3 linked regions of the Mus musculus genome follow. The protein of the gene in region 3 interacts with the protein of the main gene of each other region in a biochemical or structural test. Links are inferred from orthologs where the notes say so. Each region holds a gene or a part of one and is shown on either strand. Other genes may lie near its edges.

Region 1 (3,807 bases), on a different chromosome or scaffold from region 3:
CCATCTCCCTGCTGATGGAATGACAGATGTGCGCCTTCATCATTCCTCTGCGTAGCAGCGGAAACAAACCAGCTTGTCCTTAGCATTTGAAGCGCATAGCATCACTATACACTCTTCCTTTGCTTCTATGATGCCGGTCCCTTTGCAATAAAGTGGGAAAATCGCTTCTAATTCTGGGACAAATACGCTAAAGCTCGGTATGATGGGGCAGATTGGAAATCCCAGCACAAAAACTGAAGAGAAAGGCTGGGCTACAAAGTGAAATCATCCCAAAAAGCAAAGTAACAAAAGGGAGGCAATCCATATTAATATTAATAGTGTGAAGGTGACAGTCCTCTAGCCCCTCTAGCCCCCTTTCTCATCTTTGGATGTTGGGAAATGGAGATTCCCTGGTTTGCCTTTCTACCGCTCCCACAGTTACGCCCCCAAGACTGGGTGTCGAACCCTGAACTTCATTTAATTGTCATGAACGCTTCATAGCATCACACTCACACACAACACGAACTCACTAGTCAGAGGTAAAACTTTAATCTCAGAGCGCCCCTCCCTACCCCCATCCCACTCTCCCGCACCCAAGTCTAGGGCCGGAAAGTGAGGCCCCCCTGGCCCCCCCACCTTGGGTGGGAGAGGGCCTTTTAAGGCACCTGTTAGGGTCGGGGGACAGGAAGCTGGTACTGTCCTGGGTACAGGACAAGTTTTGATGGACAGGCTGTCGTGCGGTGGAACCTATAGGGAGCGTCAGACCAGAGAGGGACCCAGACTGTCCCCTGGGGAACCGGGATACAATTGTCAGGACTCAGGCAAAGAAAACAACAAAAACAAAAACAATTGATTAACAGCCCTAGTAGTGTAAGAAATTAAAGGCCTCGGGCCAATTCTGGGTTAGGGAGGGCTTGGCCACACTCCCAGGAGGCCGGGACCAATCGGGTAGGGGAACTCTGGAAGGCTGGCGGGCAACTCTTCCCGACACTGGCTGAGCAGCGGCAGCTCCCGCAGCTGGGCTCCGCCCTGGGGCCGCGAGTCAAGGCTGTGCGGGCAAAGCTTCGTTTGCTAGGCAAGAAACAGAGTTGACCCTTGGAGCGTTTAGAACCGGCCCCGCCCAACCTGAGCCAGCCAATCCCGGAAAGAATTGTTCTCTTGCTGGGCCGAGAGGCAGTGGCCTCTCGCAGGCCAAGGCTTTCTGTTCGCTTAATATTTCCGCTTCAGCTTCTGGAAGTCGCTGGTATTGAGCCGCGGCCGCGGAAGATCCCCGAAGACCTGGGTGTCCTCAGCCTCCCGCAGCACCAGCGCGCGCATGCTGGCCGCTATTCGGTCTAGGTCGGGCGAGGAGGGCTGTAGAGAAGGAAACTGTCAGTGTGCAGGGCCCGCCTCCCGGAAGCCCGCCATTCCGGACTGTCTGTCCTGCAGGCTGCGAACCGGCACGTTCCGCATCCCACCTCCTTCTTCAACTCTACCACTGCTAAGAAGCAGGAGCCCAGTGCAAGGTGCCCGGTCCGGCCACGCTTCGGCCAAGACAGCAGGCATCCCACCTGAATCTAGGGGGTTGCCATATGTAGAGCAGCTATGAAGGCGCTGGCGCCCCGAGCGGGGTGTCATGTGATCACTCAGTGCCTTGTTGTCCCCTCTACTTTAGGGAGTTTTCTGTGAAGGGGGCGCCAGGTCAGGGCAGTCCAGCCAAAGACCACTGCTTTAACCCGGAGCTTCAGTTTCCCTGACTCCCTCCCAAACGACTTTGGATAGACGAGGGAGGGGCCTTTCTCCTAAACTACAGTGGGGCTCCTCTCGGCAGAACACTTGTCTCGTTCCCCCCCTCACCGGGCCATTCTCCTCATCTGACGATCGGGCTTCTGTCCTCTTCTCCTTGAAGGCCCACACTGGCACCGACACGGGCAGAGACTTGGCATACTGCTGGGTAGGCAGGGCTGTGGCCGGGGGCTGGGGACAGGCTGTGGGACCGGCGGGCGTCTCCTCGCTCAGGCTGCCGTCTATGATACAGGGAAGCTTCAGCTTCTGCCCCCCTACCCTCTGCCTGGCCTCCTAGGGCTTGGACAACCCAGGATCCTCACCGTCTGTGCTCTCCGGGTCTGACTCGCAGAAGGGGGGCAGGTCCTGGAGGGTGGCATCCTCATCCATCATGAAGAGACCTGAGGGGGAGACAGGCCCTGCAGTCGGCCCCCGGGTCTCAACACTTTTTCATTTGCCTCCCTGGTCACTGAGGGTCCCTCCCATTATCAGGTACTACCAGAGTCAAAATGGTGCTTGGGACATGGCCCAAAAATAACTCCCAAAGAAAGATGGTCTGGTGGGGACAAATAAAAGATCCCAATACCATGTCACTTCCCTGAGTTTGGTTTCAAAGATCTGATACCAGAACACCTGGGTATAGGGCCCATAGCCTTCATGGAAGGCAGGCTTCTTTAGGAAAGGCAAGGTGCCAGCCACAGGCAATGATGGCAAATGAGTAACTCCCATTCACTCCTCAAAGTCCTGTGGTGACAGTACTTTCTGGGAGAAGCATCCAACTTCCTTATTCTCCCCAAACAGCAGTCCCTAGACCCAGGTGCCCACAGTGGGATGGCATGGGGTATGGAAAATGCTGTCTTTGGCCTTAACATGCCAGGAGATGTGTACTTGTAACCATCTCCAGCCCTGGCCTCCGCAGCTGTAGCAATGTCCCACTCTTGGGAAACTTGTGTCTCCCTTGGCTGGGATGGCAGCCCCTACCCCTTTCCAGAAACACCCGCACTTCTCACCAGTTGCTTGGCCAGACAAGAAGCTCTCAAAGGCAATCTCCCAACCCTGGTGTGCTACATTTGCACAACATTATTGTGTTATTACTCCCATCAAGTGGTTGGCTCTTGTGTGAGGCTTGGAAGGAATGCAGCGCCAAGGACCCACAGAACACCCTGGACAAGTGTCCAGTTAACCAGCAACCCCACTGCAGTGCCAGCCCTATTAGCTCACCTCCATTATCGCTACCGCCCAGCCGCTCCCCAGATGTCTCTGTTTCAGTGGGCTCGTCCTCATCTTCCTCCTCATCCTCCCTGGCCAGGGCTGGCCGAGGTGGTGGACTAGGAGCAGGGCTGGGCGGCTGTGGTGCTGGTGGGGGACCAGGAGGTCGGGTGGCAGTGGCAGCCCTGTGCGCCTGTGCGATGTCGTGGAGGCAGCGTCGGGCCGCCTCTGCCAGGGCTCCGCGGCCATGGGCGGCATAGGCACAGGGTCCAGGGCGGGGCGGCGGCGGTGGCGCTGCAGTCAGTAATACCAGCTCTGTGCCAGTGCGGGCCTGAAAGCGCTCGGCGGCCCCCACGACGGCTTCCCACAGTTCCTCTGGCCGCCCAGACGCCATCCGAGCCCTGTGGGCCAGAGCAGGATAGAGGGGCTCAGGATGCCGCAACCATCACTCCTCATCCTGAGGGGCAACTACTGCAATGCAACTCCCCTCCACGGCACGCGGCCGTCCCAGCTGAGCTCCCCCAATTCCCACACCTGTCTCCCCTGGGATCTTTCCCAGTCCTAGCTTGCTTTCTGGCCCCATCCTGTTCCACACAGGAACTACCCAAAGCCTTCGAGTCTCCATCTGTTTTGGCTATGAACATTAGAGTCAAGTTGGTTTGTGGTTATTTAGTTTGGTTTCTTAATACTCTGGGAGCCAGGATCAAGTACTCAAGTTGGACCCAAACTCACTATGTGTATAAAGGTAACTTTGGAGTCCCGATTCTCATGCATCCAGTTCTTGAGTGCTCAAGTCACACATGCACACCACCACGCCTAGTTTGCTGGGGACCAAACCCCAGCTTGGTGAGTAAG
Region 2 (3,609 bases), on a different chromosome or scaffold from region 3:
TGGGATTAGAAAATCAGCCACCATACTCAGCTCCCATGGGGTTCTTGGGCTGAGGGGTTAAATTGTAGTTGTTAGTTAGACTTGGTGACCCGCAGCAGGCCTAAGAGGGTGCCATGCAATGTGTTAGGGTGCAATCAAGTTAGAGGTTATGGACTCAGGTTGAAATCCCTAGAGGAGCTGCAGTGCTGGGAGTAGTTCTGTCTCTCTGTACCTCAGCAGTGTTCGAGAGGTGAAAACAAGCAGCCTGTGGTGGCAGTCACTGGGTCCAACATCACCTGTGGTGGCAGTCACTGGGCCCATACTACTCAGCACATTCCCTAACTGGAAGTACTTGTCTCACCGAGGCAGGATTCCCTACAGTATAGTGCTGGAACACTCCCCAAGGTAGCCCACGGACTCTGAAAACTCTTGGCTTTGGGCCCATGTCAGCTTTCCCTCTCAGAATCTTGTGGACAAGAGCCAGGAGCTCATCAAGGGACCCAGAGTCTCAGGGCCTTGATTCTGGGAGGTGTTAGAACTTGTCATTCTCTCTGCCTATACCTATCAAGTCTCACCCCAAGTTCACAGGGTCCTGGCTTCTCTTTCTGTGCCTCCTGCATGTTTGCCCTGTGGAATTACATGTGGTCTCCCGACTGGATGCTACTCTCTTGGCTCCCTGTTCTGAGCCTCTGAGCAGGGAAAAGCCTGGTTAGCAGCCTTGACTCTAGGTTCTTTCTGGTCAGCATTTGCCTCAGGGTTGTGCCAAGCTCCAGGGGCCAGAGGGGAATGACACATTTTTTTCCAAGTCAGCAAATGGAGCAGGGACTGACGGCTGGGCGGCCACTACTTGGTTCTTGGAGATAATGCTGCCTTCAGCAGTGTGGCAGGCTCAAGGTCAGAAGGACTGGGGGCAGCCTGGCTCACTGCCTTGAAAGATAGCTTTGCAGGACTTGAGCGTGCAGCGAGGGGCTAGGGAGGATCTAGGGTGAGAGCTAGGGCTGAATGGGAAGGAGCTTCAGATTCTGCAGAGCTTGCTGCTTGAGGCCAAAGCCTGAGCTGTTACTGCTTCCTCTGGCGGCTGGCCAAGCCCCTTGCGTCCCTGTCAATAATTCTAACAAGGAGGCTAGCGAGACTGGGCTTCAGGGACTGGAGATCGATGGATTCCATGCTAAGATTTAGTGTGTGTGTTTGTTTCGGCTGATATAAAACCCCAAAACCTTTTCCAAAGTTTGGAATGGAGGACCCCATAGACGGTAGTCCAAATAACCACAAGGAGGCGCTAAAGTGCACTGAACTCTGGTGGCTTCAGTAACAGAGGTAGGAAGTGGGAGGGGAGCTTTTTAGTGGTTGTGCACCTTCTCTGCTAGGCTTGGTTTTCTCTTGGTTCCAGGCTCTTGGGTCAGTCAAGCTCTGGTTGGTTGCTAGGCACTGTGGTGGCAAGGGCATGCTGCCTGCCTGGGTTGGGCAGTTGTAGCGCTCTGCTGCTGCTGCTGTTCACAGATAGACAGCTAAACAGACAGAGAAATGGATACAGATGTATAGATATTCCCCACCCCTACTTGATGAAGTTGGCAGTTTTTACTTATAACCCCCATCAGGAAGTGAGCAGTCTCACCCAGAGGGCACAGAAGCCTACAGGGTGTTCAGGGCTTTTGGTCAGGGAGACCTGCAGTCTTTACTGCTCAAACAAAACCCAAGGAAGTTGGGAAGGAAACCACTTCTCTTTGCTGGGTCTTGTGTCAGGACCGCTTTGCTAGTAGTACTGGATGTGACAGCGGAGGAAGCCCACCTTGCGGGGCTCCAACTGCTTCAGGAAATGTAGCCCTGGCGCCTTTAAGAGCCAAGGGCAGGCAGGAAAAGAATTTCAGTTTCAATCTGGCTTCTAAATTTGGAGTTTTGGGAAGGGAGGGATCAGATTTCAGCTGGAAGGGAAGGAGCTGACAGGAAGGCGCTGTGCTGAGCCTCCCCCACCCTGCCCATCCCCCCAGTTACTGACAGAGGAACCATTTACAAAAGGCCGATTCTCTGGGGAGTGGAGAGGCAGGAACGCAGCGTCTGTGAGTAATTTCCTGCTCAATATGGCTGCTCTGACTCACACGATTCCCCTGGGGTCACTGCGGGACTGCAGTTGCTTGCTTGTTCTCGCTCTTTCTCTTCTCCCTTTGTGGCTAGAATGAGCTGATTTTTTGGGGGCGTCTTCTCACCCCCAATTTCTTTTCTCCCTCATTTTTTTTCCTTTCTCTTGAGTCGCAGAACCTCCTTCTGAAGGACTTGGGACCTGAGGCCCTGAAGGCCTTGAGGGTGAAGTGGCCTCTCTAGGGACATAACTGAGCTACACAACTTGGGCCTGCCTCTAGCTCTGCAGCCTGCCAGACAGCCCGTTTTGAATGTCCCTTGTTAGTGAGCAAGGCTGGTCCCCCAGGCAGGGTCCTTGCTGAGCCAGCCTGGAGCACCTGCTGTGAGACAAAGCAGGTGGTCATTCACTCAGGGGTCTGTAGGGGACCCTGTTTCATAGTTCCAGCCTGCAAGTGTGCAGAATTGGGGCAAGGAAGTAGAGAGATTGACGGTGGAGTCTTTGCAGGAGTGTTGGGATACATCTCGGAAGCTGAGGGCACTGTAAACTTTGCCAGGCTCACAGAGCCTTTCAGAGTCTTTCTGTGTAGTATGGGGCTGTCCTCTGAGCCCTGTTCCCCAAAATAAATGCTGCCTGTAACCTGGGGAGGGAGTGAGGAGGGCGTGCCAGGCTGCATGGCTAGTAAATACAAATGGACTGGCCTTGCACTCTCACTGGCAGGATGCACTTGGGACATAGGCTTCCCTATTCCTGTGCCCCAGCCGAGGCTCTGATGCCCCGGGACTGCACTGGACTGCAGTAGTGCTCTGCCTTCCTGCAGTCAGAGTTTGAGCACTGATGGACTATCCATGTGCCTGCTCGTCTTGTTGCTGTGGCTTTTTCTGCCCTACTCTTGACCTTGTTAAACAAACTTCCCTCCTGTACTGATCTGGAGCCTCCCTCTATCTCTGTCTCTGTCTCAGAGGACCAGATCCATCAGGGCCTGTCCACAGCCCCTTTCCTGTCCTCCAGGCAGGTCTAGACCACGCACCTACAGTGTGTCTGCATAGGAACACATTCTACTTTCTTAGGGTAGGGATGGTCTCTTCCTGGGTTGCTAAATTTGATAGACATTGGGATGGAGCCTCTGTTTTGTCTGTGTGAAAGAGGTAAGCAGAGGCTGTAGATGAGAGAAGTTCTGTTTTTTCAACAGGCCTTGTAGGTCAAGGCTGTGGTGTGTGTGTGCGTGCATGTGCGTGTCTGTGTGTGTGCACGCCTGCATACTGCCTCTCTAGTTCCTGGACTTCTTTTCCAGATGAAGACTGGCCCCTTTGCGGAACACTCCAACCAGCTGTGGAACATCAGTGCTGTCCCCTCCTGGTCTAAAGTGAACCAGGGCCTCATTCGAATGTATAAGGCAGAGGTGAGTGGGGGCTGGCCATCCTGCCTGCCCCTGATGGCGCTTGGTCCTGAGGGTGAGCTCATGACTTCTGATTCTTCATCACATTGTTTGCTCGGGCTCTGAGGCCAGCTGTCTGAAACTTGGGGACCTCAGAACCTGATGGATGGGCAGAGGC
Region 3 (4,226 bases):
GAAGAGCTAGGCAGACCCAGGCCGGCCTGCTTCTCCTGTGGAGTGCGGACTTACCTCGTTTGTGCAGCCAGCCCTCCTTCACAATGGCTACGTCGTTCATGGTATCCGTGGCCCCCAGAGACAGGGGTAACCCAGGGATGATGCTCAGAGTCTCTTCTCGGTAGGCTGAGCCCAGCCGGCCTGGCCGCAGCGTCTAGAAGAAGCCGAGAAAGCACGTGAGACAAGGTCCCACTTGGGACTAGCTTCCGTGAGCCCCAGAGGGCCCACAATTACCCATGTCCCCTCATGTGATCTACCCATCTCTGGTTCCCAGGTTCCCTCCTCACCCTTACTCCCTGCCAGCCTGCCTGACGTGTCTCCAAAGGTTGCTATAGAAGACCTCCCTCCAGTAGTAGATGCTACACACCCAGATCTAGGCCTGGTAGTCCGGGGTGCAAGGCTGTGGCCAACCCCCATCATCCTGGTCTCTGCTAGAAACATTCATTTCCAGAAGGCTTTTCCTGTTAGGCAGCTTGTTCAATTTGCTACCCCAGCAGATTAGGCCACCTCCTCCAGGCAGCCCTGACTGCTTCTGCTCTGCCTCGCACTAGTGAGGGGTGCTTACCACTGTCTCACCACCCCCTACAGTCTGGGAGGCCTACTGCAGGTCGCAGGGTCCCTACGGCTCACGTTAGGAACGCGGGAAGGCCAACACTGGAGAGCACAAGTAGAACAGGCACGGTATGAAGCTGAGCCCAAAGTCCTTCAGGACAACACTAAAAACTCCTCAGGCAGAACCCCAGACCCCTTGGGAACACAGCACCCTGCCTGTGAAGCTGTCCCCTTCACTTGGTGAGTACACACTAGGCACATATGGTTCTGTCGAGCCTTCACCCTACGCCTGAGACAGAGAGACTCTGAGACAGCCTGCTGGGAACACCCAAAGCAGTGGTTACGACCCACAATTACAGTATCCGGGAGCCCACAAACAGGGCAGGTAACACACAAGGGTCCTGCAGCGGCCAACTAGCTAGCCTGTGCAAAGCAAAGGGTGCCAGCTCACCTCGCAAAGATCCCCCCGCCCCCCAATTGCTTCTCTTCCAGAGGGACACCTAGGTATCCTTCAAATATCCCCAAGTCTGGACATTCTGGGAAAGTGCACCTGAACAGCCCTTGACCAGCAAGCCTGTGTTGTCCCTCCACCTGGAGTTCATGTGGACAATCCCCAGGAAAAGACTGGAAGGCCGCCGTGGAATAGATCCCAACTAGGGTCTACTACAGCTGACTGGCAACCCCCTATGTCATCTCTCTAGCCCAGAAGACACAAGCTGGCACCCAGAGTCTCTGTCACTTTGCCTTGTATGAAGCTAAATGTGGAACAAAAGGGAGGCCGGCTGCTATGTGTCAAATGCCAAATGCCAAAGTAGGAAAGACCACACCTGGCCCAAGAAGGAAAGAGCCCTTCCCTCAGCAAGCAGGTGGCGACTAAAAGCCAGAACGAAAAAGATAAGCCAAGAAGAAATCCCAGCTCAGTGACTGTCAGAGTGGGTGTGGCCTGGAGGCAGAGGGCTGTACTGCAAGATCTCTCTCGGTGGATGTCCCCTACCCCCACCCAGCCCCAAGGTCTGCTGATGACAGTCAGCTGTCCAGAGCCGTGTAAAAATAAATTCATACACACGGAGTGAAGAAACACAGCCATGTTAACGCCAATGTCCACATCAAGCCGACTTAAGCATGGGACACTCTTCCCACCATGCCATGCCGTAAGGGCATATGGTTGCTATTGTTAAGTCTTAAGAGTTCAGCCCCTCTGGGACACTGGCCCGTGAGCCACACGCCCAGCTGGGGCCCCACCAAGGCGACTCGCCCTTCACTTTAGTGATGGCTCTAGGCAGTCAAGGCTAGCCACCTGGAGCAAGACCAGGGGCCTGGGGGAAGGAGGAGTTTGGCCACACAGCAGAGGCCCAAGGTTCCACCACCGCCCAACTTAGAAACCAGTCCTCTTTAGACAATTCCATCAGCTCAGCCAGTATCCCGGATCCGGGAGACCGAGTCCACGCCGTCCTCAAGGCCCCCCCCCCCCCCGGCACCTCCAGAAACCACCTAGTCCAGGAAGCAGCTTCCGGGCCCAGGAGGGTTAGCAGTCCTTTGTGGGCTAGCCTGGGCACTGTGCCACCGCGCACAACTTTCTGTCCGTGGGAAATGAGTTCTCCTTCCCAGGGCCCTCCCACCGCACGCAGGCCGCGGGGCGAGCCTTTCTCCTACCCTCGCTGGCCGAGTGCCCGGGCAGCCCCAGGCCCCAGGGCGCACCGGCCCCCACTGCGCACACCAACAGCGCCCCTCTCCCGCGACCTGGCCCCGTGGAGCGGCCACCCAAGGTCACGCAGCGGCCGCCCGCACCCTCGCCGGCGTGGGCCTCCTGCGCGACCAGCCCGGCCCCGCGCGCTCCCCGCCCAGGCCTCCGCTCGGCCACTTCCTGCTCCTACTCCGAGGCGCGGCGCGGCCGGGAACAAAGCGGGGTGGCCGCGGCCCGGAACAGGGCGCGGCGCGGGCACTCACCGGGCCGCCGCGTGCGGGCGACTGGGCCTAGCCGGGCCGCGGCCTCGGGCGCCCGCCGCTCCGCATCCCGCGGGCGGGCGCTGGGCGGGGCCGGCTGAAGGCAGCGGCGTCCGGGCGCGCGCTGCTGGCCGGATCTGGGCCGCCGCGGTGCCGGCCACAGGACGCTGCTCGGTCCGCTCCGCTGGTCCCGGACTCGCGTGCGCTGCCGCGCTGGGCCGGCCGCCCGCCGACTCGGTGCTGCCGCCGCCGCCGCCGGCCCGCCTTCTCCCCGCCCCGCGCCCGCGCCGCCCGCCCACATCCGCCTCCGCCGCCCCGGGCGCCCCCGGCGCGGCCCGCGGCCAGGGCGAGGCACCCCGTGAGCGCGAGCGCGGCCCCGCAGGCGCCGCCCTCGGGTGGCCCCGAGCCAGGGCCACGCGGGTAACGGAGCCCCGCCGCAGATCCAGAGCTCCAGCTCTGGTCTGGGTTTCCCGGTTTGTGGGACCTGGCCCTTCCCTGCCTAGCTCTCCAGACCCCAAGGAGGGAGGCCAGCGTGGGAAGTGAATCAGTTTGACTCTCAAGAGGCCCAACTGTCCCCATCTTGGGAGCCGGGAGAGACCGGTCACCGGTGTCCTAAAGGCCAGCCAACACAAGAAAGAAGGCTATTGAGGGCTCATCCAACCCAGTACTGCCTGCCACAGCAACTGATAAGGACTCCCCAGGTGACAGGGAGGACGGGAGCACACCTGGACACCCAGAGGGGGCAGATTCAGGGGTAGGACTCAGTCAGCCAAGACCTTGCTGTGGACTCAGATGGGTGAGGCTTGGGGGGCGGTTCCTTATGGTGTCCCGGAATTGAAGAGTCAAGGTGGTTCCTGCCTCTTATCCATCCTCAGTCCTTCCCCCTTCGGCCAGCCTCAGCAGTTCCTGCGCAGGGCCCCTCCCTCGTCCCAGAAGCCCGACTTGATAGTAACCCTTTTGTGAATTTACCTTCATGTGTTTGGTATTTTTAACCAGGGGGCATTTTTTGTTTTTCATACAAGGGTCAGAGTTCACCAGGAGTGTAAACAAGAGGGTAGATTTAGTAGTCCACGCTATCGCCCAGGATGGAAATCGGAGCTCCTTCTCGGGCTCCTGGGGCTGACCTGGGAAGCACACCCCACTCCCGGAGAAGAACTCACTCTCCTCTCAGCCACGCCCCATACCCTTCAGACGGGGATGGGGATGGGGGGCTCTGTTCTGTGCCCTATCTGCTGCACAGCTGCCCCAGCTCAGAGAGCCTCCAGGGCGCTAAGTCAGAGGCTCAGCAGCAGTTCTGTTCTGCTCCAGCAGTATCCCTGACCCTGAGAGTGGCCTTCAGAGGCTGAGAGTCACACAAATATCCATCACTCGCCCAGCAAACCTTCACCCCAGGCCCCCAACTCCTCCTCTCCTACTTCCCCCATCCCGTTGCTACACAGTTAGAGCCAGCAGGGCGCCCTCTTGTGGAACACAGCAATTTCTGGCTGTTCTCTAGTGACCCTTCTCACTCGGATGCTCTTCCTGGAAGCCACTGTTGGAGACAGCTCCTACCTGTGGTGAGCCCTGTTTCTATGCAGTAACCAGTCCCGCCTCCCTTCTTTGTGTCTCTATCTTCCCCCGAGTCCGGAGTGGGTTGGGGGATAGGCGACTCCTTCTGGGTCCACACTTTGGCAACACCTCTTTGGGCCTCC

The links.
Region 1: of the proteins of Akt1 (region 3) and Akt1s1, one has a biochemical effect on the other in vitro, tested with the Homo sapiens proteins (2 studies listed by BioGRID). The link is inferred for Mus musculus from reciprocal best matches to the Homo sapiens genes AKT1 and AKT1S1.
Region 2: of the proteins of Akt1 (region 3) and Ptpa, one has a biochemical effect on the other in vitro, tested with the Homo sapiens proteins (2 studies listed by BioGRID). The link is inferred for Mus musculus from reciprocal best matches to the Homo sapiens genes AKT1 and PTPA.

Annotation. Positions count from the first base shown.
Region 1 is NC_000073.6:44,852,117-44,855,923, reverse strand, and holds the end of Akt1s1 (proline-rich AKT1 substrate 1), read right to left. Parts: intron 3,354-3,807; coding exon of another isoform or gene 3,347-3,353; coding exon 2,965-3,346; intron 2,145-2,964; coding exon 2,067-2,144; intron 1,986-2,066; coding exon 1,816-1,985; intron 1,333-1,815; coding exon 1,189-1,332; 3' UTR 503-1,188; downstream 1-502. UniProt on the Homo sapiens protein: Negative regulator of the mechanistic target of rapamycin complex 1 (mTORC1), an evolutionarily conserved central nutrient sensor that stimulates anabolic reactions and macromolecule biosynthesis to promote cellular biomass generation and growth.
Region 2 is NC_000068.7:30,439,943-30,443,551, forward strand, and holds part of Ptpa (serine/threonine-protein phosphatase 2A activator), read left to right. Parts: intron 1-1,910; exon of another isoform or gene 1,911-2,036; intron 2,037-3,347; coding exon 3,348-3,455; exon of another isoform or gene 3,456-3,507; intron 3,508-3,609. UniProt on the Homo sapiens protein: PPIases accelerate the folding of proteins. It catalyzes the cis-trans isomerization of proline imidic peptide bonds in oligopeptides. Acts as a regulatory subunit for serine/threonine-protein phosphatase 2A (PP2A).
Region 3 is NC_000078.6:112,671,462-112,675,687, forward strand, and holds the start of Akt1 (RAC-alpha serine/threonine-protein kinase), read right to left. Parts: upstream 2,816-4,226; 5' UTR 2,539-2,815; intron 2,479-2,538; exon of another isoform or gene 2,245-2,478; intron 194-2,244; 5' UTR 101-193; coding exon 55-100; intron 1-54. UniProt on the Homo sapiens protein: AKT1 is one of 3 closely related serine/threonine-protein kinases (AKT1, AKT2 and AKT3) called the AKT kinase, and which regulate many processes including metabolism, proliferation, cell survival, growth and angiogenesis.